7 linked regions of the Cricetulus griseus genome follow. The protein of the gene in region 3 interacts with the protein of the main gene of each other region in a pairwise test. Links are inferred from orthologs where the notes say so. Each region holds a gene or a part of one and is shown on either strand. Other genes may lie near its edges. The genes, in order: Eif4e2, Psma1, Ubxn11, Ushbp1, Eif4e, Tle5 and Rhobtb3.

The links.
Region 1: the proteins of Ubxn11 (region 3) and Eif4e2 interact in binary tests that used the Homo sapiens proteins (3 or more experiments, as listed by UniProt). The two-hybrid records come from large-scale screens. The link is inferred for Cricetulus griseus from reciprocal best matches to the Homo sapiens genes UBXN11 and EIF4E2.
Region 2: the proteins of Ubxn11 (region 3) and Psma1 interact in binary tests that used the Homo sapiens proteins (3 or more experiments, as listed by UniProt). The two-hybrid records come from large-scale screens. The link is inferred for Cricetulus griseus from reciprocal best matches to the Homo sapiens genes UBXN11 and PSMA1.
Region 4: the proteins of Ubxn11 (region 3) and Ushbp1 interact in binary tests that used the Homo sapiens proteins (3 or more experiments, as listed by UniProt). The two-hybrid records come from large-scale screens. The link is inferred for Cricetulus griseus from reciprocal best matches to the Homo sapiens genes UBXN11 and USHBP1.
Region 5: the proteins of Ubxn11 (region 3) and Eif4e interact in binary tests that used the Homo sapiens proteins (3 or more experiments, as listed by UniProt). The link is inferred for Cricetulus griseus from reciprocal best matches to the Homo sapiens genes UBXN11 and EIF4E.
Region 6: the proteins of Ubxn11 (region 3) and Tle5 interact in binary tests that used the Homo sapiens proteins (3 or more experiments, as listed by UniProt). The two-hybrid records come from large-scale screens. The link is inferred for Cricetulus griseus from reciprocal best matches to the Homo sapiens genes UBXN11 and TLE5.
Region 7: the proteins of Ubxn11 (region 3) and Rhobtb3 interact in binary tests that used the Homo sapiens proteins (3 or more experiments, as listed by UniProt). The two-hybrid records come from large-scale screens. The link is inferred for Cricetulus griseus from reciprocal best matches to the Homo sapiens genes UBXN11 and RHOBTB3.

Annotation. Positions count from the first base shown.
Region 1 is NC_048595.1:438,866,203-438,870,074, reverse strand, and holds part of Eif4e2 (eukaryotic translation initiation factor 4E type 2), read right to left. Parts: intron 1,978-3,872; coding exon 1,843-1,977; intron 1-1,842. UniProt on the Homo sapiens protein: Recognizes and binds the 7-methylguanosine-containing mRNA cap during an early step in the initiation. Acts as a repressor of translation initiation.
Region 2 is NC_048596.1:86,388,487-86,393,109, reverse strand, and holds the start of Psma1 (proteasome subunit alpha type-1), read right to left. Parts: upstream 3,013-4,623; 5' UTR 2,865-3,012; coding exon 2,862-2,864; intron 1,466-2,861; coding exon 1,421-1,465; intron 896-1,420; coding exon 794-895; intron 690-793; coding exon 586-689; intron 1-585. UniProt on the Homo sapiens protein: Component of the 20S core proteasome complex involved in the proteolytic degradation of most intracellular proteins. This complex plays numerous essential roles within the cell by associating with different regulatory particles.
Region 3 is NC_048595.1:19,189,717-19,194,250, reverse strand, and holds the start of Ubxn11 (UBX domain-containing protein 11), read left to right. Parts: upstream 1-1,510; 5' UTR 1,511-1,580; coding exon 1,581-1,664; intron 1,665-4,534. UniProt on the Homo sapiens protein: May be involved in the reorganization of actin cytoskeleton mediated by RND1, RND2 and RND3. Promotes RHOA activation mediated by GNA12 and GNA13.
Region 4 is NW_023276806.1:247,620,371-247,624,834, forward strand, and holds the start of Ushbp1 (Usher syndrome type-1C protein-binding protein 1), read right to left. Parts: upstream 3,002-4,464; 5' UTR 2,632-3,001; intron 2,382-2,631; 5' UTR 2,308-2,381; coding exon 2,254-2,307; intron 2,156-2,253; coding exon 2,034-2,155; intron 1,806-2,033; coding exon 1,391-1,805; intron 1-1,390.
Region 5 is NW_023276806.1:21,021,416-21,025,013, forward strand, and holds part of Eif4e (eukaryotic translation initiation factor 4E), read right to left. Parts: intron 1,606-3,598; coding exon 1,466-1,605; intron 1-1,465. UniProt on the Homo sapiens protein: Acts in the cytoplasm to initiate and regulate protein synthesis and is required in the nucleus for export of a subset of mRNAs from the nucleus to the cytoplasm which promotes processes such as RNA capping, processing and splicing.
Region 6 is NC_048598.1:102,308,496-102,312,900, reverse strand, and holds the start of Tle5 (TLE family member 5), read right to left. Parts: upstream 3,067-4,405; 5' UTR 2,890-3,066; coding exon 2,863-2,889; intron 1,412-2,862; coding exon 1,314-1,411; intron 1-1,313. UniProt on the Homo sapiens protein: Transcriptional corepressor. Acts as a dominant repressor towards other family members. Inhibits NF-kappa-B-regulated gene expression. May be required for the initiation and maintenance of the differentiated state.
Region 7 is NC_048595.1:297,028,509-297,032,380, forward strand, and holds part of Rhobtb3 (rho-related BTB domain-containing protein 3), read right to left. Parts: intron 735-3,872; coding exon 568-734; intron 1-567. UniProt on the Homo sapiens protein: Rab9-regulated ATPase required for endosome to Golgi transport. Involved in transport vesicle docking at the Golgi complex, possibly by participating in release M6PRBP1/TIP47 from vesicles to permit their efficient docking and fusion at the Golgi.

The sequences.
Region 1 (3,872 bases), about 420 Mb from region 3:
CTTATGGGTGCCATTTCTCAGGAAGCTGAGGCAAGAGATTCACAAGTTCCAAGTCAGAATAAGGTCTAGCAACACCCTGTCTCAAAACACAAAATCACAACCTGTGCTGTCCTGGCTCTGTGCTAGGCAGACTCCCACTTTCCCAAATGTATGGGAAAAGGAGCTGCAATGGCTCTTAAAGGTCCTTTTTCAGCCTGAGTCAGTGATTAGTACTTTTGGCTTGAAGTGGAGCTTTTGAAAAGACATCCTTTGGGCTGGAGAGATGACTCCGTGGCTAAGAGTATTTGCTGTACTTCCAGACGACTGGAGTTTGATGCCCAGCAACCACAATGGGAGGCTCATATCAGCTGTAACTCCAGATGTAGGGAATCCAATGCCCTCTTCTGGCCTCTGAGGGTGCCTACAATCATGTGTGCACATATACACATATACATAAACAAAAGTAAAAATATAAACCTTTAGACCAAAGGTGGTGGCAGAAGCAGGAAGATCTTGGTGAGTTCAAGGCCAGCCTGGTCTATATAGTGACTAGAATTCTAGGCCAGTACAGTGAGACTCTGTCTCAGAAAGGAGGGGAGGGCTGGGGAGGGAAGGAGAGGAAAGGGAGAAACAAGAAAAGGAAGAAAAGAAACTCAAAAAACCAAAACACTAGAACTATTGCTTTAGATCTGAAAAAGGATTGATGTTATCATTACTTCTCTGGGAGGGATTTAGTATCACAGGGTATTTCTTTTCTTTTTTCTTTTTTTTAAGATTTTTCAATGCAACGGGGTTTCTCTGTGTAGGGCTGTCCTGGAAATCACTTTGTACACCTGGTTGGCCTCTGCCTCCTGAGTGCTGGGACTGAAGATGTACACTACCTCCGTCTAGCCACAGGCTATTTCTTAATGTTGTGGATTATGATGGCAGACTTTAGGCTCTATCACTTGTCCAGTGAATACTGACAGTGTTGATGGCAAACATCTGAATGCCACAAGGAAAAAAAGATAACATAAAATTCCCTTGTTTCCTTGGGGTAAACTCACATTTCTTTCTTTCTTTCTTTCTTTTTTTTTTTTTTTTAACATTTTTTCTGTATAGGAAAGAAAAATGCAAGACATAATCATAGTTATTCTGAAATAATTCAACAGAACTCTGAATGAAAATGTCTTCCTAACATAGTGGCTGCCACTGTACTTAGAAACTAGTCTAACATTCCCATACAGCAGATAATCCAAACTTCTCTGACGGCTTCTGTGTTAGAAATAAACTGGGTATGGTGGCTCACATTTGTAATCCCAGCACTTGAGATAGGACTGTGGCAAGCTCCAGGCCAGTTGGGTTACCCAGCAAGACCCATTCTTAGAAAACTGATTCTGCACACAGACTGAACATAGAGCACACAGGGGTGCAGGAAAATCTCTACTGAACAAGGTACACTTAGCTGTGTGTGTTAGCTGTATATAGTCAGGGTAAAGAGCCAGGAGGGAGGGTAAGGATGGGCTGTGGTGAGGAGGAGCCCGAGCACTCTGTATTGTCAGAATCTAATTTCATGAGGATGGACATCATATACGGTAAATCTGTCTCTCTTATGACACTCTCTATATAAGGACTCAATAAACATCTGTTAAAGTAAGAAACCTCAAACCAAAACTCTTTTTATTTTTGTATTATGCCTTTCTGATCAAAGCTACTTTTCCATACTTAGATTACCTAAATGTTACCTAAGAATTGAACAAATATGACCTTGAGGGAGTGCAAGCCATTCAAGAATGTTTAGCAGGTTACTAGGAAGGCAGACACAGGGACAGAAAGAAATGAAGGTATATGAGTGCTGTATATTCCACCAGACTAAGTACTCACAGAGGCAAAGGTGCCAATCTGCTTGATGTTCTGCTCATAGCTCTGTGAACTGGTAGGACGGCCGGGGGTTCTCCTAGAGTACCAAAAGGTGTAGTTGTACTGCAGGGGATGTTCTGCTGGTCCAGGGACAACAGCCTGGGGAGCATAGAAAGTTAAGTTAGTTCATGGCATTTGTTACATCGATGTGAGTCCTAACATTTATATTGTCTTTTTTATAAGATTTACTTTTTTTTTTATTTGTGTGCATACACGTGTACATGCTCATGTATGCATGTGGGTGCTTGCAAGGCCAGAAGAGGGCTTGTAACTATCCAGCATGGGTGCTGAGAACCAAACTCTGGTTTGTAACAACAGCAAGTGCTCTTAACTACTAAATCATCTCTTCAGCACCTTGTTTCTAAAATTATGATCATTATCATCATGTATAATGTGTGAAAGACAGAATGTGGGAGTATGCATGCCATGGTATGTGTGTGGAGGTCAGAGGACAACTTTCAGGGCTGGTTCTTCCCATCTCACTGTGAGATCCAGGGACTGAACTCAGATCATCAGGCTTGTGTCTGATGGGCCATTTCTCTGATCCTTAATAAATATTTCACAGCATCAAACCTACTAGACATGGTGGTACAAATCAGAGGCAGACAGATCTATGAGTTTGAGGCCACCTTGGTTGACAGATTGATTGAATTCCTGAACAGCCAGGGATACACAAAGAAACCCTGTCTTGAAAAAATGAACAAAAAAAGTATAGCTCCCTTCCCACCTCCACAACTGAAAATAATACCATAATTTCAATTACTTGCAATGTGCAGGAGTCTGCTCACATAGTACATTCTTCGGTGGTTAGATGACTCCACATTGCTGTAACACAACTTTCTGTCTTTCTTATAACACCATGGGCATTCATTATCTCAACATATGCCCACTCCAAGGTCTGTCTCTTCAACATTCATTACTAAAGATTGGCAGGTCACTTAAACCTGCTCCCTATCTGCAAGATGGAGATAACAATAACCATCTCAAAGGGTCACTGTGAAGAACAAATGAACTAGAAGCACAGAGTGCTTGGGCATTGCCTGACACACAGCAAGTGCTCAGTGAATATAAGCTCCTCAGGCCACAGGCTCTCTTGCCCTTGTGACACCCCCCACCCCCACCCCCGCCAAGTCACCAAACAGGGTTTCTCTGTGTAACAGCCCTGGCTATCTGGCTATCCTGGCATTCACCCTGTAGACCAGGTTGGCCTTCCTCTGCTGGAAATAAAGGTGTGTGCCACCACCGCCCAGCCTTTTTTTTGGTTTTTCAAAACAGGGTTTCTCTGTGTAGCCCTGGCTGTCCTGGAACTTGCCATGTAGACCGGGCTGGCCTCCAACTCAGAGATCTGCTGGTCTCTGCTTCCTGAGTGCTGGGATTAAAAGCATGCACCACCACCACTCATATCTTTGTGACTTCTTACTCTCTAGAAGTAAATGCTTATATCTGGCAGGCATTCAGGATTATCAGATAAAAAGGGCTGTAATACTGAAAAATTTGACCCACTTATCTTTCATTCCCTAAATTCTCTTTATCCCAAGCTACTTTTCAATGTGTACTACTGTTGACTGAAGAGTCTAAAATAGCAATGTGTAGGATTTAAAGAAATCCCAGTTAAGAACCTTGACTCCATCTCACATGAGGATACTGTAAAGCTATGCAGCATCCCAAGACCTCATGACAAGAGGAGGTTCTAAGTTCCAAAATGATCTCTGGTCATTCCACTATTTTTTAAAACTTGTAATTATAAATGAATACTAAGGATTTCTCTGTGATATTTCCATACACACATCCACCAAGCTTTGGTCACACCCAGTGACCCATGTACTCTTTTTTACCCTCTTCCTCCCTCTCTATACCTTCCCCCCTTTTTTTCAGTGCTAGGAATTGAACCCAAAGCCTTATACCCTCCAACGAAGTGGTACCCCTAGTCTCATACTCTTTTGGTGTTTCTGTATATATGTCCATGAGCGTGTGCATGAGAGCACGTGGAGGAA
Region 2 (4,623 bases), on a different chromosome or scaffold from region 3:
AATAAAATAGGTTTTAAGCTCCCTGAAGACAAGATCTGTATCTGAGTCATCTTTCTATACCCATATCATATACTACTAAGCTGTGTGAAAACAAATGTATAAAAAATATTAACCTATAAAAGAAAACTAGAATGGCTCAGGTCATCCTTAAGGCAAGGCATGTCCAGCTCTTAGGAATACAGGGCTTGAAACAATATACATGTCAACAACTACCTCATGCAAGGACATTTGAAAAGCATTAGGATGTTTAATAACACTACAAGAATTAGGGAGTGGGAATACTTAACAACACACCCAAATATTACAAATTACAATATTCAGAGGACCCAGATACAATTTCCAGTATCCACATGGCAGCTCACAATACCAGGGAAGCTAATGTCCTCTTCTGGCTTCTGAGGAACTGGGCACACACTGGTACACAATCATACATGCAGACAAAACTCTCATATGTATAAAATAAAATAATTAAAAATTATTATATTCTGGGAGACAACTTCCTGAAATATGTTACTAGGATATTTTCTAGTAAAATAAATCATTATGAATCAAAAGGGATACTTAATTTTTCATGGTCATACGTACCATAACAGTCTAGCATCAGCAGTCAGACCCGCAATTGAGATACCAATATGGTTGTCAACATGGAGAATTTTCTTCTGGTGAGCTGCAAGTTCCGACTGTGCCCTCTAAATAGAGACATAGTACGATAGTTTACAGCTTTGTTTATCAGTGAAATTTACATTTGATAGTTGTTTCCTAAAGGAGGAAGACAGTATATCATTCCACTTACCTTCAATGCAACCAACACTGCATGTGTTTTTGACTTTAGGCCAACTGTGGCTGAACCTTGTTTAACAGCTTCCATTGCATATTCAATTTGATGAATCCTGCCCTGAAGACAAAAAGAAAAGCACTTCTTATAGTCAGTCCTTAGATCCTTTTAACTAAAAATTTAAGTTTTCAGATCTTAGATGAGCATAATTGAAGTTCAGTTTTAAAACAAATAAACTATTTTTTGTTTTGTTTTGCCTTTTCAGACAGGGTTTCTCTGTGCAATCCCCTGCTTATCCTGGAACTCGTTCTATAGACCAAGCTGGCCTTGAGGTCACAGAGATCCACCTGTCTGCCTCCTGAATGCTGGGATTAAAGGTGTGTTCCCCCATTGAGCAGCTAACTAACTTTAAGCTCACAGCCTATAATTTCACAAGTTTTATTTCATTGTTTTTTAAAGATAAGGTCTTTTAAGCTGCTCAAACTGGCCTCCAACTCCATGATCTCTGGCCTCAGTATCCTGACCAGTAAGGATTAAGATATGCACCATCAAGCACAGTTTACAATCTCACAAGTTTCTGAACCTACTGAAGCCAAGAAAAGCCACTTCATAGACACAGCAGGAAAAAAAAAAAAAAAATCTTACCTGAGGACTCCAAACAGTGACATCATTGTCATACTGGTTTCGAAACTGAAAGTGAAACAAAGACAGATTACTATGAGACATTATAAACCTCAAATTTTAACATTAAGACATGTGCTTACATACGTTTTTGCTCCTGCAACTTTCCTGAGACATTACTACAGTTTGCAAGTCAAGTCTACCTTAACCATGAGCTGTTGGGATGAATGGTCTAGGGTCTTCCTAATTTCCTAGTCTGCCACTCTCCACAGCACTCTCCTTGGGCAGTCAGGGGCTAAAATATGTACATATCAACTTTTCTTCCTCTTTGCTTACACTGTTCTCTTATACAAGGCTCTAATAATTTGCCAAAGGCCTTTAAATTGACTCAAATGTCTATCTCTTTAAGGTTTCATTCTTTTTCTCTTGCAGCCCAGTTTGGCCTTCATCTGCCACGTACCTGGGAAGATATGTACCTGGGAAGATGACCTTGAAGCCCTGTCTCAACCTTGCAAGTGCTGAAATTCAGCTGTGTGCTATCATGATCTACTCTACACTTTTTTTTTTTTTTTTTTGACGAAGGTCTCTATACTCTGGCTGTCCTGGAACTCACTATGTAGGTCAGGCCAGCCTCAAACTCACAGATATCTGCCTGCTTCTACCTCCTGAGTGCTGAGATTAAATTCGTGTACCACCACACCTTCTATCTTTACATTATGATTAAAGTTATGTCTGGTTTAACTTTGTGTTCTCTTCTTGCACCTTGCCACTGAATGAATTAACATACACACAAATCCTAGGTAAAGAAGTGGGCACAAACAGCTACAGTGGCAGAACCACTACTGTTATAATGCCACTACTAAAGCAAGTGTGTGTGCGCGCTTGGGAGAACATTCCTGAGGGTGAGAGGATCAGAGTTCCTATGGCAGGCTCGACAGAAGCAGCCCGGGGCTCTTACCTTGTGAACCTGATTCCATCACTTCCCCTCTCATCTGTAACTGGTGACAAATCTAAGCATTCTAAGGAGTCGGATAAAGCCAAAAGGACCCATAAGGAAGATGGGCACTGTCTAAGGGCCTCACTGTCGGCTCAGGTCCGCGCTGGCGGTGCCGGGAGGCCAAGTGCATTCTCCACCCTCTCACTCCTATGCAGTCACGAGGGACCACAGGGTCGCCGGGAATCGGCCACGGAAGTTAAGTGGGGGAAGCTAGGGGGTAAGCGTGGCTAGCTGGCCGAGGAAGAAGCGTCTGGACCCCGTGTATAGTGGAGAAGCGACCCCAGAGGCCTCCCCGGCTACCGGCCGCTCCTCGTCGGCCAGGCCGCAGATGCTGAATCACTGCCGGAGCCCATCCGTGAGCCAAGCTCCCTCTCCCACCGCCCCGCGCCGCAGGAAACAGAGGCCGATCCCCGACCGAGTCAGCGGACCTCAGCCCCAAACCCTCCGAGGACCCAGGGCTCAACACACCATGGCTCCGGCGTGGCGACAATCAGACACAGTAGCCGACCCAGGAACACGGACCCAACTACGGTTCGGTGATCGTCAGGGAGGCCTGCCGAGTTTTGACGGCGGCAGCGCAGGGAGCACAGTCTATCCCAGAGCCACGGATCGGCGTTTAGCGCTCCCCCGCCCTCCAGCTGGGCTCTGGGTGGGCGGGGTCTGGTAAGGCTAAGGAACTGGGATTGGCGGGAAAGCCCGGGGCTCGCCTGCTTGTGCGCAGAGACAGTCGGGCGTGGCTGCTCGCCAATGCACTGACTTTCTTTGCTTTATTTCCCCCGGTGGATTGCAGATTCCCGCCGACTCTGGATCCACCAGGCTGAACGCAACCCAACTCGGGATGATGCGGCCGTGCCGCATATCATGTCGGTCACAGTCCATAGAGGTTTGGGGACTTGCCTGTCTGAAAAAGGCTGTAGAAAAAGCCACAGAACCGTAGTGTGTGCGTGTGTGTGTCTGAAAAAGGCTGTAGAAAAAGCCACAGAACCGTAGTGTGTGCGTGTGTGTGTCTGAAAAAGGCTGTAGAAAAAGCCACAGAACCGTAGTGTGTGTGTGTGTGTGTGTGTGTGTGTGTGTGTGTGTGTGTGTGTGTGCGTGTGTGAAAAAGGCTGTAGAAAAAGCCACAAAACTGTAGTGTGTGTGTGTGTAACCGTAGTGTGTGTGTGTGTGTGTGTGTGTGTGTGTGTGTGTGTGTGTGTGTGGTGTGTATGTATGTGGTGTGTGTGCGTGTATGTGTGTGGGGTGTGTGTTCCTGTTTCTGGCCTGGAATATCTTGAGTACTTGGACAGCCAGCCCATCCTTCATGGTTCCATGGTCATGTCGCCCATTTCATGAACATTACTAGCTCTTCTGGGACTTTGAACTTCACCAGGGTTCTGTTCTGATATTGAATATAGGCTGTCCACAACTAAATGCTATGCCTGGTAGATTAGGCCACTAGGGGGAAGCTGTGGGTTTTCTTACGAATTTTTAAAGAGCATCTTTTGATTTGTCCTCAAATGAAATCGAGACAGCTCTGCGCTTGCTGCCTACCTAACATATCTACAGACTGCTAATTCTTTGAAGAAAGGATAAGTGCCCAGAGTCGGCTAAGGATCCTTAAAGATCTGAACTTTGAAGGCGGAGCAACACGTCACTTAAATGTTCACGTTCAGAGCAATTAGTATCACCTTCTAAATATTTTCATGTATATGTATTTGTTCTCACATTTATTTATTTATATATTTTATGTGTATGTTTCTGGCCCTGCATACACTTATGTGAAAGTCAGAAGATAACTTGAAGGAGTTGGTTCTCTCCTTGCACCATGTGGATTCTGGAGATTGAACTCAGGTTCATGGTTTGGCAGCAAGTGCCCTAATCCTTTGAGCCATTGTGCTGGTCCCTGTTTTATTGTTGGTTTTTTTCCCCTTTTTATTTTTCTTGTCTTTTTTCTTTCCTTCTCAGTCCCTCCCCCATTTATATGCACTCAACAGTTTATGAGATTGCTTTGTTCTCTAAATTTACCAACACTGTCTCTTGTTATTTTTTTAGAATTTTTAAAAATTTTATGTGCATTGATGTTTTACCTGCATGTATGTCTGTGTGAGGGTGTTAGATTCCCTGGAACTGCAGTTATTGATGACTGTGAGCTGCCATGTGGGTGCTGGGTCCTCTGGAAGAGCAGCCAGTGCTCTTAACCATTAGCCATCTCTCCAGCTCAGGCTCTTGTTATTTTAAAAAAGTACTTCTA
Region 3 (4,534 bases):
GGCTGGGAAGTGACTCTGAGGACAGTTTAGCGGTGCTTCTCAAGCTTCCTAATGCTGCGACCCTTCAACACAGTTCCTCATGTTGTGGTGACCCCAATCATAAAATTATTTTGTTGCTACTTCATAACTGTAACTTTGCTACAGTTAAGAATCATAATGTAGGCTGGGTGTTGGTGGCACACGCCTTTAATCCCAGCACTCGGGAGGCAGAGGCAGGTGGATCTCTGTGAGTTCGAGGCCAGCCTGGTCTCCAGAGCGAGTGCCAGGATAGGCTCCTAAGCTACACAGAGAAACCCTGTCTCGAAAAAAAAAAAAAAAGAATCATAATGTAAATATTTGATATGCAGGGTATCTGGCATTTGACCCCCCACAGGGTTGCAACCAACATGGCTGTCCAGGGACTCACTCTGTAGCCGAGGTTGGCCTTGAACTCAGAGATCAGTCTGTGTTTGCTTCCAAAGTTCTTGGACTAAAGGCATGTGCCACCACCGCCTGGCAAGAAATACTTTTTTTTTTTATTATTTTTTATTTGAATTACAAACAAGATTGAATTACATGACCATCCCAGTTCCCTTCTCCCTCCCTTCCTCCCCTACCACCCCCCAACTAACACCCAGCCTATCGCATAGCCTTTCTTCTAACCTACACCCGACTCAACCTATACCGGTGTTTCATAAGTACTTTGCATTAATCTCACTTACCCATCCCAGCTACCCTGTCGGGTAGGCATTATCTTCATTTTACAAGGAAATGAGATGTCAGTGTGTCCAAGGCCACACCTTTGCCTGGTGAGGACAAAATTTGGAGTCCTAACTAAACTGTCTGTGTCGTTAGTCTAAATTTATTTATTTAGTGATTTTGTTGTTTTATTTATCTTTTTGAGACAGGGTTTCACTGTGTATGTAGCCCTGGCTGTCTTAGAACTCACTCTGTAGACCAGGCTAGCCTTGACCTCAGGACTGCTTGCTTCTGTGCTGGATTTAAAGTCGTGCGCTGCTACAGCCTGGCTTTAGTAACTTATTTTGTGTCGTGTCTGTATGGAAGTCAGAAGACAGCCCCTGGAGTCCTTTTCTCCTGCTACGTGTGCCCCAGTGATAGAACTCAGGACGTCAGGCTTGGTGGCAAGCGCCTTTACCCGCTGAGTCATCTATCTCTGAGGCTCAAGGACTGGAATTTATTTACAAACTGGGAGTGGGGTATGGTACCCAATTCTTCCACATAGGCACTAGAATTAGAACTTTACTTCATAGCATCATCTAGTCCATAAGTTAGAGGAGAAACTGAGACTTAAATATTTATTAAGGAAACTGCATCAGTCCAATTCATCGCTTCATGATCAGATGGGGAAACAAAGGAAACGTAGCTCAATCTAGACACTGTAACCGTCACATCTCCAGGGTCAGAGGGTCCAGCCGCCAAGTCCAGGTCTCTGACCTCTGACCTCGTAGAACGGTGCATTCTGGGATCTGTAGTATCCTGAGCCGCTCTTCTTCACCGTGGGCCAATAGTATTCGGGCACAGTCGGCTACACCCGCTTTCGTTGCCCGCCGGTTCGTCAGCGAGCCTCTGGGAGTTAGCCAATGAGAGGTGCTCGGCTCCTGGTCGCCAAGGAAACCCCGAGACAACAAGATGGCGGCGCCGCGGGACGGCTCGCTGGGCCCGTGGTGAGTCTCGGCTCCTGGCCTTTCTGCTCCGCCAAGTCTTCCGGGCAGGCCGGAGCCCCCGCCCCGGCTCCGAGGCCCCGCGGCCTGCATGGCTCGGCTCAGGAGGGCAGCGGGGACCCCGCTCAGCGTGTCCGTGCGTGGGCGGAGCCGAGGGCGGGCTCCCGGGGCGGGGTTTGGGCGCCGGGGCTTCGCCCTGCAAGCGCGCCCAGCCATGGGCCGGGAGGGGCGCGCAGCCAGCCAGCCGGTGCTCCCAGAGCCCAGCGTGTCTGGGGATGAACGCCTAGGGCAGCCCTGAGTTCGGCCCTCAAGGTGGAGAAGCGCAGGACACGTTTGTAACCCTCACCAGAGGCGACAGCCAGGCCTTTACAGCCTTCGTCGGTTGTGACGGACTGGGAGGCGCGACTGCGAGTGTGAAGCTCGTCTGGGTTACATGGCCAATTAGGGCAATTCCGCGAGACCTTGTCTCATATTTTAAAAAGTAAATGGAGGCCAGGTGTGGTTGTACAAACCCTTAATCTCAGCACTCGGGAGGCACAGGCCGGCCTGGCCTACATAGTGAGACTCTGTCTCTAAAAAACAAACAGTAACTAAACAAAATAGAAGGCTGGGGCTGTTGGTCTGTAATTTTTTTTTTTTTTTGGTTTTCGAGACAGGGTTTCTCTGTGTAGCTTTGGAGCCTGTCCTGGCACTCGCTGTGGAGACCATGCTGGCCTCGAACTCACAGAGATCCGCCTGCCTCTGCCTCCTGAGTGCTGGGATTAAAGGCGTGCGCCACCAACGCCGGGCCAGACCTGTAATCTTAACTACTCGGGAGGCTGAAGCAGGAGGGTCACATGTTTAAAGTCAGCCTGGACTTTAGAGCCAGTTCAAGGCCATCTTGGGCCAAGACCTTCCCTTTTCTTTATATACAATTTTATACGTATACGTGAGTGTCTGCATGTATGTATGAGCACCACGTGCGTGTCACAGGAAGCCAGAAGAAGGCATCAGATTTCCTGGAACTGGAGTTACAAAAGGGCCATGAGCTACCTACCATATGGTTGCTGGGAACCAAACCCAGGTCCTCTTCAAGAGCAGCAAGTGCACCTAACCTCTGAGCCATTTTCAAGCCCAACACTTTATTTCGTTAAAAAAAAAAAAAAGACCATAGATAGAGTGTATCAGTGCTGCACTTACATAGCACGTATAAGGTCCTAGGTTCACTCTCCAGCCCTGAAAAAGTGAATTAAAAATAAGTTTAAGTGCCTGGTGTTGGTGATGCATACTTTTTAGTCCTAGCACACGGGAGGCAGAGGCAGGAGGATCTCTGTGACTTCAAGGCCAGCCAGGGTTAAACATTGAAATCTTGTCTCAAAATAACAACAAGGGTTTAGGGAGACAGGTTAGTTGGTGAAGCCCTTGCTTTGCAAGCTTGAGGACCTGACTTTGATCTCTAGAACCTACTTACAAAAACAAAACAAAACAAAAAAAAACCCCAAAAACAGGTGTGAGGGTTGGCAAGATGGCTTAGTGGATAAAAGGTCCTGCTGCCATGTCAGACCACCTGAGTTCCATCCCCAGGATCCATGTGGTGGAAAAAGAAAACTGAGTTCTTCAGGTTATTCTCTGACTTCCAGATGCTCACCATGGTATCCATGTGCCCATACACACATAATAAATAAATAAATGAATGTTGAAAACAAAACAAAACAACAACAAAAAACCCCACACGTGGCACAGACAGGCCAGGCACTTGTCATCCCAGTGCTGGGAAAGTGGAGGCAGGTGGATCGCTAGGGCTTGTAGCTGGCCACATTAGATTGTTTGACAAGTTCTAGGCTAGAGACAAACCCTATATATTTAAAAATAAAATAAAATGTGGAGAGTGCCTGAGGATGACACTCTGGGTCCTCAAAGGACTCATGCGTATGCACCTATACCTGTGTGTACTCACATCCACACAAATAAATAGTGGTGGCATTTGCAGGACTCTGACCACCGGGGAGATGAGGCAGGAGGGTCACAAGTTAGAGGCCATCCTGGACTAGGTATTGAGACTTGTCTCAATAACAGGACAAAAAATGGTTTTGCTGGCTGGTGGTGGCAAACGTCTTTAGTCCCAGCACTCGGGAGGCAGAGGCAGGTAGATCTCTGTGAGTTTGAGGCCAGCCTGGTCTCCAGAGCGAGTGCCAGGACAGCCAGAGCTACACAGAGAAACCCTGTCTTGAAAAAACCAAAAATCAAAAATCAAAAAAACAAAACAAAACAAAACCCCTATGGGCTGGAGAGATGGCTCAGTGGTTGAGAGCACTGGCTGTTCTTCCAAGGTCCTGAGTTCAGGTCCCGGCATCTACATGGTGGCTCAAAAACATCTGTAATGAGATGTGGTGCCTTCTTTGGTGTGCAGGCATATATGCAGGCACTGTATACATAATATATAGATAAATCTGTTTTTAAAAGGAGCCCTTTTCGGAGAGGCAGTGGCACACACCTTAAATCCCAGCAGTGTGGGAGCAGAATCAGCCAGGTGGATCTCTTGAGTTTACAGAGCAAGCTCCAGGACAGCCAGGGCTACACAGAGAAACCCTGTCTCAAAACCTTAATTTTATGCTTTGAAGTGGTGAAGTATAGGAAGTGTGTCTTGGTAAAGTTATGTAAGAAAAAAGGTGGTTATATAGTATATGATTCTACTTATATAGTGCTGAGCAGGAGTGGTGGCTCATGTCTGTACCCCTGGTACTCAGAGTCAGGTGAGATCTCTGAGTTCTAGACTAACCAGGGCCACATCCTGAGACCTTGTCTTAATAAATAAATAAATAAGGAAAGAAAGAAAATTCTAGAGATAAAACAGTGGTGCTTACCAGTGGTCCAGGCTAGTGAGGAGGCATAGT
Region 4 (4,464 bases), on a different chromosome or scaffold from region 3:
TGTGGCTTCCCATACAGCAGCTCTCATCAACAGCAGGAACCCAACTCCAAGCTCTGTCCACGTGACCAGACAGGTCCCAGTTGCCACTCAACACTTACCACTCAGCATCGAACCTGAGGTGTGCAGCTACTGATGGGGGGTTTAGGATTCATTTATTTTTATTAATTTATGTGTATTAGTGTTTGGTCTGCATGTGTGTTGTGTGAGAGTGTTGGGTTGCTGGGAACTGGAATTACAGGAAGTTGTGAGCTTCTGGAAGAACAACCAGTGAATGTTCTTAACTGCTGAGCCATCTATCTCTCCAGCCCCCGCCTTTTTGACTTTTTTCCTTTTTAATTTTTAGGAGACTCAGTGTTTCCCTGGGTTTTCTGGATCTCCCCAGCTCCAGCCATCCTCCTGCCTCAGTCTCCCACCATCACACTCAGGAAGGAGAGTTTCATTTTTATGTTGGTGAGAAGAGCCTCTCCAAACTGAGTGCTGAGCACCCTAGCCCAGTCTGTCTTTACTTCTATTTTGAGACGTTTGCCTATCTTGTCTAAGCTATTGTGATCCTCCTGTCTTAGGCTCTAGAGTTCTTAGCATGACAGGCTTGTCCCACAACACCTGGGTTTAACATCACACACAATCTGCCCATTTCTGGTCACCACCACCTTACTCTTCCCCGGGCCCACTGTTATCGCCCCTCCCCCACCACCAGGGTCATGGTCCACCACCAGGCTGTTCCTTCCACGGTCAGCAGATGGCGCAAGGGAACACCTCCAGCAGGTCCAATTCCCCGCAGAACCCAGAACCCTCTGGGGCTTCGCAGTACACATAGCACAGCTGCAGTCCTGCTCAGCCTCCACATCCTGCATACTGTGGTAGTCCCTCCTTGCCTGAGAGTTTTAATATGAAAAGAGCCTCTTCCTCCCCAATTGCTTTTTAGTGGTGGTGTTTTATCACACCAATAGAAACCCTAAGACTGGATTGATTTGTGTGTGTGTGTGTGTGTGTGTGTGTGCGCGCACGTGTGTGTGTGTGTGTGTGTGTGTGTGTGTGTGTGTGTGTGTGTGTGCGCGCGCGCCAGGACCTCACACACTCTAGGCAAAGCCTCTATCACTGAGGTACTCTGAAACTTTTAAAAAACAAACAGAAAAATTGACACAGGTCTTTAACCCAGGCTGGCCTTGAACTCAGTCTACATCTGAGAATGACCTTTGTCTTGACCAAGTGGCCTCTGATTGAGATCTGTCTCTCCTCAGCTTCTGGGGTGCTGAGATCATGGGGTGCACCCTGCCTGGCTTCCTTTTGACCCTCTCTTTCACTTTGCTGTCTTCCTTGGTCACTTCTGTGGCTGTCATTCCTCCACATCAGTTTGTTGAATGAATAAATGTGTGTTTGTTCAGCTCACCTGTCTCTGCAGAATCTCCTTCTCTGCCTGGGCATCCTGCAGGGAAGCCTGAGTGCAAACCAGCTCATCCTCATGGCGGCCCAGGGCCAGCCGCAGCCAGGCGTTCCTCTCTCTGAGGCGAGCTGCCTCGTGCTGTTCAGGCCAGGCTTCTTCCTGACCATCAAAGGGCTCCAATGCCATCTGGTCTCTCTCTTCTTTTTCCAATGGCCTTGGAAAGCTTCGGGAGCGGTGGCGCCAGGCGGCCACAGTGGCCTCAAGGGAGCTCAGCCTGCTCTGCAGGGTCTCAAACACACTGGGTACTGATGTGGCACCAGAGCTGGTATCCAGAGGGGCTGCCTGCAGGGTCTGGTGGCCTTCCACCTTTGACTTCAAGGCTATGGCCCCGTGGGATCCCATGTCACAATCACCCTCAGGCCTGGAAAGACAACCCAGGAACCCCAGCCACCTGAGTCTGAGCAGGGGCTTCAGGGCTAGACCTCAAGGTCCCTGGGAAGGGTGAGCAGGCAGTGAGCTGAGGAGGAAAAGGAAGGGAAGAGAGAGATGGAGGGGGATAGAGGAGGCAATGGACACTAAGAGAGGTGGGCAGGGCAGCTTTGTGAGGGGCTCCTGCTGGAACAGGAAGTAAGCACTAAATTCGTCCTACCGTTTCCCTGGGCTCTGCAGGTCAGGACCAAGGTGCTCCTGAAGTAACTCAGGTTTGGACTCGAAGCTCCCATTGGTGGCCTCCACCTCCTCTGAGCTCTCAGCCACTGGGTCCAGCTCCCCCTGAAAATGACAACCCCACCACGGCAGGTTCTAGTCCAAGCAGGCCTAGGCTCCAGGATCCATGAGGTTGGGTGAAGCAGGAAGAGGGGCACACTTACAGGCTGAGGATGCCTCCCTCGGCGGCTTCGGGGCCTAGTGGCCCGGGCGCTCATTGCCTCTTTAACCCCCTGGTTACAGCCCGCTCTCAGATCTTCCCTTTGTCTCCCCGTATCATTCGGTTTTCACCCTAGGAATTTTTGGTCAACTGCACTGACAGAACATTTGGATACCTCTCCGATGGTGCCCATTGCCTGTCTATTTGCCCCAACCTCTTGCCCCCTTCTCTGGTGCTTTTCCCTCATCAGTGTCCCCCTCTCTCCCCTATGGAGGTATGGGATAGGGACCCCAAGAATCTGCTCTCCTCCCAGGACTCTCCTAGCACCAAGCTCCCTCCCCTGGGAGTGGGGGGCTCCACCCTCTCCTCTGCTCCAGGGCACCTTGGGAAAGGCCTGAGTGCCTGGGCACATCTCAGGTCATCCTGGCCACTGGCTGCTGAGGCTGTGCTGGCCAAGGCTGGCCTGGGAGGGGCTGAGAAACAGGAAGCCTCCTGCCCTGGTCACATGGAGAGTTATTGTCTTGTTTCCTTCTTCAGGATGTCAGCTTCCTCCAGAATGTGGACAGGATGGAGAATTGGGACCCTTGTGCCACTCCAGGCTAACAGCCCAGCCCAAACTTGCAGTCCCTTTCTCTGTTTCCATTTCAGGGTTTCTCAGTGTCCATCCCCAGGTTCACCAGGGCTCACTCTTACTGTAAGCTCTCTCTCTCTCTCATTCTCTCTCTCTCTCTCTCTCTGTGTGTGTGTGTGTGTATGTGTTACTCTCTCTGTCTCTGTCTCTCTCTCTGCGTTTCTCTCTCTGCCTCTCTGTCTCTGTCTCTCTCTGTGTGTGTTTCTCTCTCTCTCTCTCTCTCTCTCTCTGTGTGTGTGTTTCCTCTCTGTCTCTGTCTCTCTCTCTGCGTTTCTCTCTCTGCCTCTCTCTCTCTCTCTCTGTTTCTCTCTCTCTCTGTTTCCTCTCTGTCTCTGTCTCTCTGTCGTGTGTGTGTTTCTCTTTCTCTCTGTGTGTGTTTCCTCTCTGTCTCTGTCTCTCTGTTGTGTGTGTTTCTCTCTGTGTGTGTGTCTGTGTGTTTCCTCTCTGTCTCTGTCTCTCTGTTGTGTGTGTTTCTCTCTGTGTGTGTGTCTGTGTGTTTCCTCTCTGTCTCTGTCTCTCTGTTGTGTGTGTTTCTCTCTCTCTGTGTGTCTGTGTGTTTCCTCTCTGTCTCTGTCTCTCTGTTCTCTCTCTCTCTCTCTCTCTCTCTCTCTCTCTCTCTCTGTTTCTCTCTTTGTGTGTGTTTCTAAAATTAAAAATAACAAACCTGTAGGCGTGGGCTCCAACATTGGAATAAATTTTATTTTTCATTACTTTGTTCTATCTATTTGTGTCTGTGGTGGGTGAGCTGCAAGCACTCGTGGGATCGATCCTCTCCCTCGGTCAGGCGTGGTGGTGGCCGCACCTGCTCTCCGACCCACAACGGTTTTCTTCAAGCAGAGCACCGTCTGTTGGCGCCGGAAAGCTCCCCCGGGACAAGGAGCCTGTCCACGGTATCTGCGGGATTTTCTTTATTTTTCCTTTCCATTTTGGCTTTTAGAAGTGTCTCGTATAGCCCAGGCTAGCCTAACACCTGACGTCATCTTCTGCCCTCTGGAGTGCGGAGATGACAAGTGTGCTCCCCAGCCCCCATCGCGATGGTATTGGTGAGTGCCAACATATGTAAAAGACGAAGCAGAAATACATGACGCAAATCCACGTCAAGTCCCACCGCGTCAATCACCAATCAGCCCCGCCCAGGTCGGCTCCTGTCCTATCTCAGCAGAAGCCTTGACAAGTGTAGTGTTGCTTCAGTCAACCCCGTTCTGTCACACCCATCCCTAACACTACCCCACTTCAGCCCCACTCCTGCCAGTGTGCTCTAAGGCACACCCCCAGGATCCCGGGGCCATTGAACTACATTTCCCAGAAGACGTTACGGCAGCACCGTGCAAACTTCCGGTCAGGAAGATGGCGGCTTCCTAGAACCCTGTGATTGACTGGCTGTGGTTCCTAGGTTGCAGAGTGGAACCTGGCGGTGTGATCTCGTGCGAGCTTTTTGTCGTTGTGGTCGGACATCGATCCGGCTTGCTGCAGTTCCAGGTTCGTTCTGCTTGAGGAGGTGGGGGCTCCGGAGTCCTGAGTCGCCACCCCGAGAAACGCGCATCATTGCACGGTCGGCGACTTGGGCTTCCTGCTGCCCCAGGA
Region 5 (3,598 bases), on a different chromosome or scaffold from region 3:
CATCTAAATGCTAAGAAAAACAACAAAAGCTATAGAAAAATTAAAAAGTGTATGGCCATGTATTCTAAGTGATTATGAAATAAGGCTGACAAAACACCTGAAAATGTGCACAGAATTTCCTTGTCAACCCTAGAAATCTGAATTTTTAATTCCCAGGAAAAAATACCAAACACTCAAAAAATGAGCAGGAGTTTTACATTCCAGAATTTAACTTCTAAACAGGTTTTTTGTTGGGGGGTGTCATGGGGGGTGGCTGTAGACCAGGCTAGCCTTGAATTCACAGATCAAACTGCCTCTACTTCCTGAGTACTAGGATTAAAGGCTTATGCCACCACCACCTGGCCTCAACAGGTATTTTTTTGAAATAAATAATCTGACAACAAGTATGAGAACAACATTGTAACAGATTAATATACACTTTACCATTAAAAATGTATTTACAAAACAAGAGAAAGAAAGAAAGAAAGAAAGAAAGAAAGAAAGAAAGAAAGAAAGAAAGAGGAAGAAGGAAAGAAAAGAAAGGAAGGAGTAGATGAAATGTGTCAACTGGCCGGGCGGTGGTGGCGCACGCCTTTAATCCCAGCACTCAGGAGACAGAGGCAGGCGGATCTCTGTGAGTTCGAGGCCAGCCTGGTCTCCAGAGCGAGTGCCAGGATAGGCTCCAAAGCTACACAGAGAAACCCTGTCTCAAAAAATCAAAAGAAAAAGAAAAAAAGTCAAGAAGCATCAAAAAAAAAAAAAAAAAAAAAAAAAAAAAAAAAAAAAGCTATTTTCAGCCTGGCCGTGGTGGTACAGGCTTTTAATCCCAGCACTCAGGAGGCAGGCAGAAGCAGGCAGATCAAAAGTTCAAAGTCAGCCTACTCTATATAGCAATTTCCAGGACAACTAGGGCTACAGAGAAACCGTGTCTCAAAAAACCAAAAACAAAAAAATCCCTTGAAAAACTGAATGTTTTTAGATTTCAAAACATCTGATATAAAACATCCATAACAAATTAGTTTCTATTTTAAAGAAATACGACATTCCTACAAGTAAATGTGTAACTAAAAGATGAAAAATGACAAGTCAAGAACGTCTCCTTTCTTATAAATCCCACTTACAATCAAATTTTATTTTTCTTCTTACTGATTTAAGTTGATAGGGGCCAGGTGAGGGGGAGGAGACTGGCCACATTTATAAAGAATAAAACTTACCAAGACAAAATACAAAAGTTTATAAACTCGTTGGCTCTAAACATGGACATGACTCGCTACCTTCATTCAACTAGCCTAGGCAATTATATACACCACTGCACAAAAGCATTTTACAGAAGACAAACACATTCAGTATCAACAGGGTTCAAGCTTCTAAGTGTTCATAAAACATTTACAAAGAAAATAACAGCTCATAACGCCCAAATTTCTAAAGGTGGATGATTTAGTCAAGTTAACGCTGTCAAAGTAGGTAGGAAGAACAAAAGCCGCACCCTATGTGTGTGACTGCGTCTCTGTTTTCACACTCAGTCGTCCATATTGCTATCTTATCACCTTTAGCTCTGACATTAACAACAGCTCCACATACATCATCACTGTAGTCATCAAAAGATTCTCCAATAAGGCACAGCAGCTGAAAAAAAAAGAACACCCAAATTACATGAAACATATCAACAACAATGAGAAAAGCAAAGAGCTCTTCTAGGTGTACATTATAAAAGAAAGCAGCTTTTAAATCTAGAGTTGACTTCTTAAACTGGTCAGGCAGAGGCAGCATTGCCAAGTCTGAAGCCATCTTGATCTACAGAGACAAAAACAAAGCAAATGAATAAAGAAATTGATTCTTAATTTTTTTTGTTGTTGCCATTTTGGTGGGGATGGAGACAGGACATGCACATAATGGCAAACCGAGTAAGAGGACAATTGGCAGCAGCTGGTCCTGCCCTTCCACCCTATAGGTTATGGGAATTAAACTCAAAACTTGGCAGCAAGCACTCCCACCTGTGGAGCCAGAAGCCAACTTAAAAACTGACTTTTAGCCAGGCAGTGGTGGCACTCGCTTTTAATCCCAACACTTGGGAGGCAGAGAGGCTGATCTCTATGAGTTCGAGGCTAGTCTGGTTCACAGTGAGTGCTGAGAGGCTCCAAAGCTAGAGAAACCCATCTCGAAAAACCAAAAACAAACAAACAAAACCCTGACTTTTAAACTGTCTAAATTTAAACATTTATATATTTTTTTACCTTGGCTTAAGAAAATTCAAATGTTTTAACTTTTTCTGCAAACTGGGCACACACAAAAATGATCTCATTAATATCCATCTGCTCGACTGCTTAGTTTGTTGGCAAACAGTCATTAGCAAGATGACTGAAATAGCTACTTATGCTCCCATTTAATTGCCATGTTCTAACAGTTTCAAAGTAGAGTTCATTAGCATTAAGCACATTTAACATTGCTGAGCAACTGTTACTAGAATCTATAGCCATAATTGTTTTTAACTTACAAAAGTGAAATGTCCCTTTTCCTATGGCAGTGGGTCATGGGTCATGTCCCCTTTAGGGACTTAACAGCCCTTTCACAAGGGTTGCCCAAGACCATTGGAAAACACAGATATTTACACTACAATCGATAAAACTATAGTTAGGAAGTAGCAACAATAATTTTAGTTAGGTCACAACAACATGATGTATTAAAGGTTTGCAGAATCGGGAAGGTTGAGAACCACTGTCCTATGGGATTCCAAAATGATATTTACTCATTCTCCTCCAAAAGTGTAACTTTTGCTTTAAAATATTACTGATACACATATGTAGTAAGTGCTTATTCACTTAGTAAAAGCTAACTATAAATCAGGTATGGAGTCTAAGTGGTTACAAAAAAAGCATCAACCATGAACTTTGCTCCCCAGAACCTGACCATAGAAAATGCTTATGACTTCATATTTATAAAACCAAAGTGCTAAAGTCCCATATCAAGACACATACACCAAATAATATCAACCAATAAGCTTAGTTTGATTACACTGATTTCAAAATTTTGTAACTTTTAATCAGCAATGCTATGAATGGGTTGTAAAAACTTACATCAATTACAAACTGTGAGATCCTATCATTTTTGATTAATGAGATGACAGGGGAGAGCTGACTGTAGAAGGTGGAATTAATGTCAATCACTTTGTATCTGACTTGTAGATAATATAATCATTCACCAGACCGACATATACAAGACACTCTCATGGACATGTATATAACCCACAGCATTCCAAGGCTGGAGGAAGGGGGATCCTGGGCTCAACCCCAGCACAGCTGTGTAGTCAGACACTGCCTTTAAAGAGCAAGGGTTGGTGACTGTCAGTCAGCAGGAAAAGCATCCCTTAATTTTTCTAAATGTGTTTTTATTTTATAGGTATTTTTAGATTAGTATAAAGGTAGTGGTTTCCCCATGGCATCTTCATACTTGTGTCATGGTATCATCATCTCATTTCCACTCCAGACAGCGGATTCCCCACCCCCACAGTGCTTCCCTTTAGCCCATCCTTGTACTTTCCAATAGAATGTACGCACTGTCCTATTTCCAAACCTCATTAGGTCCTGTTAGTAGCTTCATGACCTACAAACACACACATACA
Region 6 (4,405 bases), on a different chromosome or scaffold from region 3:
GAGTTCGAATCCCAGCTCCAGACTCGGGATGCCAGGGCTTGTGTTACCTGGGGAAACTCGGTCGGGAGGCAGTCCTGCGACAAGGTGGACACACACACACACACACACACACACACACACACACACACACACACACCACAAGTAACTCTGGGTTGGACGTGGCTCAGCCATAAGCACCAAGGCAAAGGAGGAAAATGATAAAAAGTATCTCCAGGGAACTTATTCTCAGTGTGGATGCTGTTCCCGAGTTCGACTTCCCCCAGCCAGGAACTCAGGCCCGGGCTCAGAGAAGGCATCCCTGAGGAGGGCGGGGCCACGGACCCGAGTGGGAGACCATGGGGGGGGGCACACCTGTGCCCTCTCTAAAATGACAAATGCTGGGGCTGTGGCCTGGTAGGTAGCTTCCACTGACCTAGCACATGAAGCTCCACTGGGCCCCTTCTTGACTGTCATCTACTGTTAGCAGCTCAAGGTCATCCTTGGCTACAAAGGGAGCTGGAGGAAGCCTGGACTACATGAGACCCTGTCTCAAAATAAATACCAAAAAGTAAAAATAATAAATTAAAAAAAAATCACAAACCCAAGATTTCCTTTTTCTTGGAGAACTCTGAGTATCTTTCAAAGACTATTACTATTATTACTATTTGTTTTCTGAGACATAGGTTTGCTCTGTACCTCAGGCTAGCCCAAAACGCCTCCATCCTCCTCCTGTGTGTCTGAGAACTGAGTGTTGGGCCGCACCCCCATGCTCACTCACTGTTGGGAGTACAGGGTCAAATGGGGACCCCAGGCCACGCTTTCCCCAGTCCCCTACTTCAGGCTGCTTCTGTGCTGTGCAGCCCTCGGAAATGGCTGAGCTCTCTGGGCTTCAGAGTGATTAGTTTCACACATGAGAAACAGGAAAACAGTTTGTGGGAGCCCGTCAGTTGGATGGTCTGTGGGACACCAGCAAGCTCCCCCACTCCATAAGTGGACAGAAAGAGAAGGAGGGGCTGTGTGGACCTTGGCTGATTAATAACCCTCTCTGGACACCCACTGCAGCCTGTGTTAAAATGAGAGCATCACGCTCTCTGGGGACCCGGCTTCTGAAGCAACACACACTGTGTGCCTCGGTTTCCCCCTCCACACTACGGGGCTGCTGGTTTGGTTTTGGACTCAGGGTGGTATGTATCCCAGGCTGGCCTCTAACTTGCTAAGTAGTTGAAGATGACCTTGAACTGCTGACCCTCAAGCCTCCACCCCCTCCCAGCCTTTCTCCAGACCACAGATAACCCCTACATTCTGGGGGTGCGGCCTTCCTGGCGCGGGCTCACCTGTGGTACTGGGCTTGCAGCAGCTGGAATTCATCTTTGATCCGGTCGCAGGAGTCGGAGGTGGTGAACTTGAGCTGCTGGGGGAGGTGGGAGGAGCCCTGCGGGTGCGGGTGAGGGTGCGGGAGGGTGAGGGCCTGCTTGCCCGCCCACGCCCTACTTCCTGGCTGAGCTCTGCAGGCCCCAGCAGCACTCTCCTAGGAAGCCTGCAGGGGGCTGGGAGGCCCCCAGGCAAGGAGGCGCTTTTACCGTTGGTCATTTTGGGGGGCAGGCACCCCATCCTCCAGCGGCCTCTGAGGGGTCCCCGGGAAGCCCCTCTACGTCAAACAGGACACAGGCCTGCCTTCAAAGCCAGCTTGGAAGATGCACCTAGCTACCACCCCACACTTCCTGGGCGTACCCCCATCACACCTGTTTCCTCAGGGGACTCCCCCCAAAGCTGCCCAGCCCCAGGGGTGCCTCGCGGGGTTCCCCCCAGCCCCAGTGAAAGCCATGGGAGGAAGACAGGCCTGGGGTCAGGGAGGCAGATGGTAAATGTTAGGGTGCAGGGGCGGGCCGAGAGGTGTCCCTGGGGGTGAGGGGATGCACAGGGCTGGCATCTGAGGACACTGGGCCAGGAGTTGGGGTGTAAGGTTTTCGGATCTGGGGAGCACAGTTAGAGTCTGGGGTCAAGGCTGGGAGCAGGGTGGGGGCTGCCGGGCCACCGGGAGCTGGGGTGGGAGGGATGTGCGGGGGGTCGGCGCCTGGAGCTGGGGGAGGGCGGGCGTGGGGGGTCCTCGGGCTCCGGACAGGGGCAGAGGCACAGTGGGCGTTATAAAGGCGCAGGGTCCCCCACACTGCGGTACTGAGGGTGCAGGATGGGGGCTGGGAGGTGGCAGGCCTCTGGGGTGCGAGGCCTGCAGCTGCAGGACACAGGGCCGGGCTGGGGGGTGGCGCTGGGCCCGGATGGTGACGCCAGGCCCGAAAGGGCTCGGGGGAGAGGCAGTGGGTACGGAGCCTATATTCTGGGGTGCGGGGCAGCCGACTTGGGGGCAGGGATGGAAGTGCAGGGCCTTGGACTTGGGGGCAGGCTGGTCTGGGGCCATTAGCGAGCTGGTGCGGAGGGGTGCGGGAGCGCAGAGGTGGCGGTGCAAGGTCTCAGGCTGGAGGACACGTGCGGCCTGGGCTTGGGGTGCTGCAGCCCTGGGCCTGAGCCCCAGGGCTGGGAGACAGGCCGGATGCGGCTGGAGTGGGGTGCGGGGCCCCGGGCTGAGAGACAGGCTGGTCCGGAGTCGGGATGGGCAGGCAGCACGGGGTGGGCTCGAGGCCGGGATCAAAGTTCAGGGGTCCGGGCTGAAGGATGCAGTGCTGGGCCGGTGGGGTGCGCACGGCCTGGGTGGTTGGGTGCAAAGACCCCGGGGACAGCGCCGGTGGGAGCCCCTGGGGCAGGCCCTGGGCGGGGAGACAGGCGGGATCCGAGCTCCGGGGGTTCAGTGAGCAGAGCTGGGGATGTAGGGCGAGCACCGGGGGTGCAGGGCGAGCTCCGGGGTGCAGAGCGCGGGGTCCCCCTTACCGAGTGCCGGCTTTGCGGAAACATCATGTCAGTCGCGGGGGGCGCGGGCTGCGCCCCGGCTCGGGCGGCTCGGGGGGCGCCGGGCGGCCGCGCTTTGTCCCCGATCGGCAGCTCCGGGGCCCCGCGTCCCGCCTCCTGCGCCGCCCGCCGCCCGCCCGCGCCGCCCGCGCTATTGTGTAATGGCGACGCGGTGCCGCCCGGGCTCCCGCTCCACCTGCCGCGCCCGGCACTGCGCAGGCCGGACGCCCCACCCGTGACCTTGGCCCCGCGCGCCCCGCCCCCGCCGCGGCCCCGAGCCCTGGCCCGAAGCCTGCCTCGATCCCCCACTCCACTCTCAGGCCCCAGACCCACAGTCTGAGTGCCCAGACCCCAAGGTGCATTTATGAATCGCCTACGGTGTGCCTCGCCCTCTCTGGAGTGGGGAGGGGAGGCTTGGCACGGCTGGGGGCACGGTGATACCCGTCCCACGGAGGTAGGAAGGGGCCAGGCCTGTCACCACTGACTGAAGTGTACAGGCTGGAGGACCAAGAGTTCCAGGCCAATCTGCGCTACAAAACACCCAATCTCAAAACAGCAACAGAAAGTAAAAGACTTGAGTGATGGTGCAAGGCTTTAATCCCAGTGCAAGGTAGGTTGAGACAGGTGGAAGCCAGCCTGATCTACACAGTGAGTTCCCATACAGCCTGGGCTACATGAGCCTCCGTCTCAAAAATAACAAAAGTTAGAGACCTACTGGAAACAGAGGTGGTGCACACCTTTTAATTCCAGCGCTCCGGAGGCCCAGAGGCAGGCAGATCTCTCTGAGTTTGAGGCTAGCCTGGCCAGGATTGCATGAGCCCTTTCTCAAGAATAATTAAAATAAAAACATAAATATATAAAAGGAAAATAGTTCCCGGGGCTAATTAGTGCCCAACATTTCAGAGCAAGCTGAAGCAGAGGGATTCCTACAATTTCTGGCCAGCCTGAGCTGTATGGCAATTGTCTGTCCCATACTTGAGACAGACCCTGACAAAAGTCGACTGTTATGCACAGGTGACCCACAAAGATCAGAGAGCAGAGGTGCCGGGGCGTTGATGGCACACGCCTTTAATTCCAGCACTCGGGAGGCAGAGGCAGGCAGATCTCTGTGAGTTCGAGGCCAGCCTGCACCCCAGAGCGAGTGCCAGGATAGGCTGCAAAGCTACACAGAGAAACCCTGTCTCGGAAAACCGAGAGAGAGAGAGAGAGAGAGAGAGAGAGAGAGAGAGAGAGAGAGAGAGAGCAGAAACAATAGGCCCAATAGGCCTGGTCCACTAGGATGCCCAGCCCCAGTGAGGAGCTAAGGGGGGGGGGTATGCAGTTGAGGGGAAGAGGGAGCATGGAGACTCTCTGGCCCATAGGACAAGGACAAAGCCCCTGGGACAGAACTCACACACTGGACCCCAGGAGGCAAGGCCGCTGCTCATGGCAGGGCTTCTGGTAACAGTCCCACTGGTGAGTTTGACACTATCTTATTTAATGAAAATAGGGTCACATGTAACCCAGGCTGGCCTGGAACTCTGTA
Region 7 (3,872 bases), about 280 Mb from region 3:
TGTAACTAATATTAAGCCCCTGAGTGGTTATGTTTAAAGTGGCTGCGGAACTGGGTAAGATAAGAAACCTCCAGCTACACCTAACACAGCAAGACATGGCAGCAAACTCAACCAATGCTACCAAGAGATTTGAAACCATGCTCATGAAATGAATCAGTGAATGAGGAAGTAAATAGTTCCCATAACTATGTCATTCCGTATACATAGACTAATCCTGCCATGTTCCTTTCAGTCATGCTGAGAAATGATCTTTTGGAAGGAAAATTCTATTTCCTGTAATGCTAATGTTCAGAGCACAGCCACAAGTAACTGGGATTATGACCACTACAAGAAAAAATTATGTAGACGTGATTTCTAACCCAGTGAATGCTTCAGAATTACTTCATCATAAAAACTGGTGCACAGAAACTAGAGCCTCCTGAAATCAAACCTTGAAAGGAATACTAGTCTTGACATAGCTGTTAAAACACAGAAAACCAAGGAGTATAAGTGTATTTTAATCCAAAGAGGCCCCCTCCCCTTCTAACTCCCCCTCCCCACTCCCACCCTACACACAGGGCTAGCCACCTTGGCCTTTTTGAGCAGGTCCACGATGTCCAGGTTCATGGAGGCTAGCTCCCTGCTGGGCATGCTTTGCAACTGTGTGATGATGAAGAGCTCACAGATATGCTGCAGTCTGGAGACTTGGTACATCTCAGCACAGATCAAAAGACACATGGCCTGGAAAATGCCAGCTGGGAGGAGGAAGTGAGAGAAGATGGATTATTAGACTACTGCTTTCGGGAACAAAATTCAAACATGCACAGCACGAGCTGGGGGTAGCTGGTGCACACTTTACTTCCTGCACTTGGGAAAGCTGAGGTAGTGGTGCTCTGTGAGGCTGAAGGAAGTCTAATCTATACACTGAGTTCCAGCCTAGTGAGAGCTACAACAGCAGCAGTAGCAACAAAACTCCCAATCAACACACACACACACACACACACACACACACACACACACACACACACAAACACACGAGCATTCGTGCACACTCATGCAGGCAGTTATCCTTCAGTGTGGACTAGAATTCCTAGAAAGAGTCCCATTAGCACATTCCTAACTTGTATTACATATTAAATAATCCATTAAAGCTTTCACACTCAGCCGGGCATTGGTGGCGCATGCCTTTAATCCCAGCACTGGGGAGGCAGAGGCAGGCAGATCTCTGTGAGTTCGAGACCAGCTTGGTCTAGTTTCCAGGACAGCCTCCAAAGCCACAAGGAAACCCTGTCTCGGAAAAAAAAACAAAACAAAACTTTAATTTCCAAAGAGAATCCCATCCCCAGCTCTCTAGAGAAGAATTCCAGTAGCTGCCCTTAACCAACAGAGAGCTAGCTAATTTTTTTTTCTTTTTTTTGAGACAGGACCTTACTGTGTAACTCTGGCTGGGCTGGAACTCACTGTGTAGACCAGGCTTGCCTTGAGCTCCAAGAAATCTGTCTACCTCTGCCTCCCAAGTGTGTGTGATAAGGCTAAATTTTTCTGTTAGCTACTCTAAATCTCATCTTTTCCTCTTCCTCCATCCGTGCCCACTCCAGGGTCTCACATATCCCAGGCTAGCCTTCAACTCCTTATGTAGTCAAGAACGACCTTCAACTTCTGACCTTTCTGCCTCTATCTTTGAGTGCTGAATTCACAGGTGTGTACAGTCTTGCTCAATATACTGTATTGTGGATCAAATCCAGGACTTTCTGCATGTTAGGCAAGCACATTACCATTTGAGCTACATCTCCACTCCTAACTTTTCTTTCTTTGCTTTAGTGCCCAGGCTTGGGGCACAATAAACACAAAACCTAGAATTTTAAATGTGTGTGTGTGTGTGTGTGTGTGTGTGTGTGTGTGTGTGTGCGCTTGCGCGCGCGCGCGCATGCGCTTGCATGCCTACGATATCTCTTTATGTATGCATATGGTATCTGTGTGTGTGACTACATATTATCTGTGTGTATAATCATATGGTATCCGTGTGTGTGTGCATGCATATGGTATCTATATGTGCGTGCATGCATGTGGTATCTATTTGTGTGTGGAGGCCCAGGGTTGATGCTGGGTGTCTTCCTCCATCGCTCACCACTTTGTACACCGAGACAGGGTCTTTAACAGTTTAGTTTGGCTAGCCAGCCTGCTCTGGGGATTGCTCTGGGGATTCTCTCTCTCTACCTTCCTTGGTGCAGGGATTACTCATCACCACTCTTTATTCTCCGGAGCACCATTCATCTTCCTAGACTGAGCCTTGTGAGTGTCAGACAGTCACTCCCCACTTTCCCTCTTGTCCACCCCTGGAAATCACACAGTTAAGTTTTGTGTTAGGTGTGGACTGTGCATATGGCTCAGGTGTAGAGTGCTGGCCCAGTTGCAATTGTCAAATTGACATAATCTAGAATCATGTGAGGATAGTCTCAATGAGGGATCGTCTAGATGAGGCTAGCCTGTTAGCATGTCTGTGGGAAGACCTGCCCACTGTGGGCAGTGCCATTCCCGAGGCTTGTTCTGGACTGTATTAGAGTAGGAAAGTGAGCTGAGCAGAAGGGATGAATACAATTATTTCCCTCTGCTCTTGACCAAGGATATGATATGACTAACTGCCCCAGCTTCCTACCACCTGGAATATGGACTTCGACCTGGAATTGTTATCTAAAATAGATGCTTTCTCCCATAAGTTACTCCCTATTAGAGTATTTTATCACAGCAACAGAAATGAAACAAGAACAGTAAATTTATAACTTTTATTATGAATAAGCCTTTTAGTAAAACATTGAAACAGGAAATTGGACTTTAAAAATTTGAGTGTGCTACTATATAATGCAATCACTAAAGCAATTTAGAGATACCACCTTGATTTGTGCTAATGCAATAGTACACTTGTATATTTATTTATTTATTTATTCACTTATTTATTTAGGCTTTTTGAGATAGGTTCTATGTAGCCCTAGCAGTCCTGAACTCACTGTGTAGATCAGGCTGGCCTCAAATTGAGAGATTCAACTACTCCTGCCTCCTGAGTTCTAGTATTAAAGGTGTGTGCCATCAAGCTTGGTACATCTTTAAAAGAAAACAAACAAGCCAAAAAAAACAAAAAACCAAAAAACAAAAAAACTAGTGGTCAAAGTTTTTATTAATTATTCAAATTTCCAGTATTGAGAAAATAGTATTTATTTCCACTAAGAGCCAATGCCTTCATTTTCACCAAACAAAAATAACAAGCCAGACCTTATTAATACTGGCAGTAACAACTCCAAAACACGACTAACTGGGATACTGAGACACTTTGACTATAGAAGTAATTTTCTCTTTGGAAACCCTGTCCTTTCATTTAGGAATTATTCAATTTTATTTAAACAACAAATGTAGGAAAATTTCCTAATCTAAAAATTAAAGCATGGAGGCCAAAAGGGGGGTATGATCTGAAAGGTATGGTTTTCATTTCCCTAGGGTTGCTGGCTTTTGTGAACAAGGCCTCATCTCCTAGGTCACCAGTGTATGTGGTGCTCATTCCAGCTGTGTTTGAGGAGGGCGCCACCTGGTGGCAGAATGGGATAAAACACTCCAAGGGGCTTCTGTGCCTAGTCGAAAGGACTGTGTAGCTGATACACATTATTATTATTAACATTACTAATGTGTGATGGCCAAAGATAGCCTTTGGTTAGTTATACAAATAGATCCTAAGCATCCTGGCAAAGTTTTTAGGGGAGTCTGGTTTTGAAAGTCAGTAGCAGCCTTTAAACGCCCACATCCTCAGATCAGGAGGCTCACAGTATCAAAAGTCTCGAAAACATTCAACTAGATGTGAGGACCACAAAAGCTATTGTCTAGTCCTTTCCTTGTTAGAGGAGGTG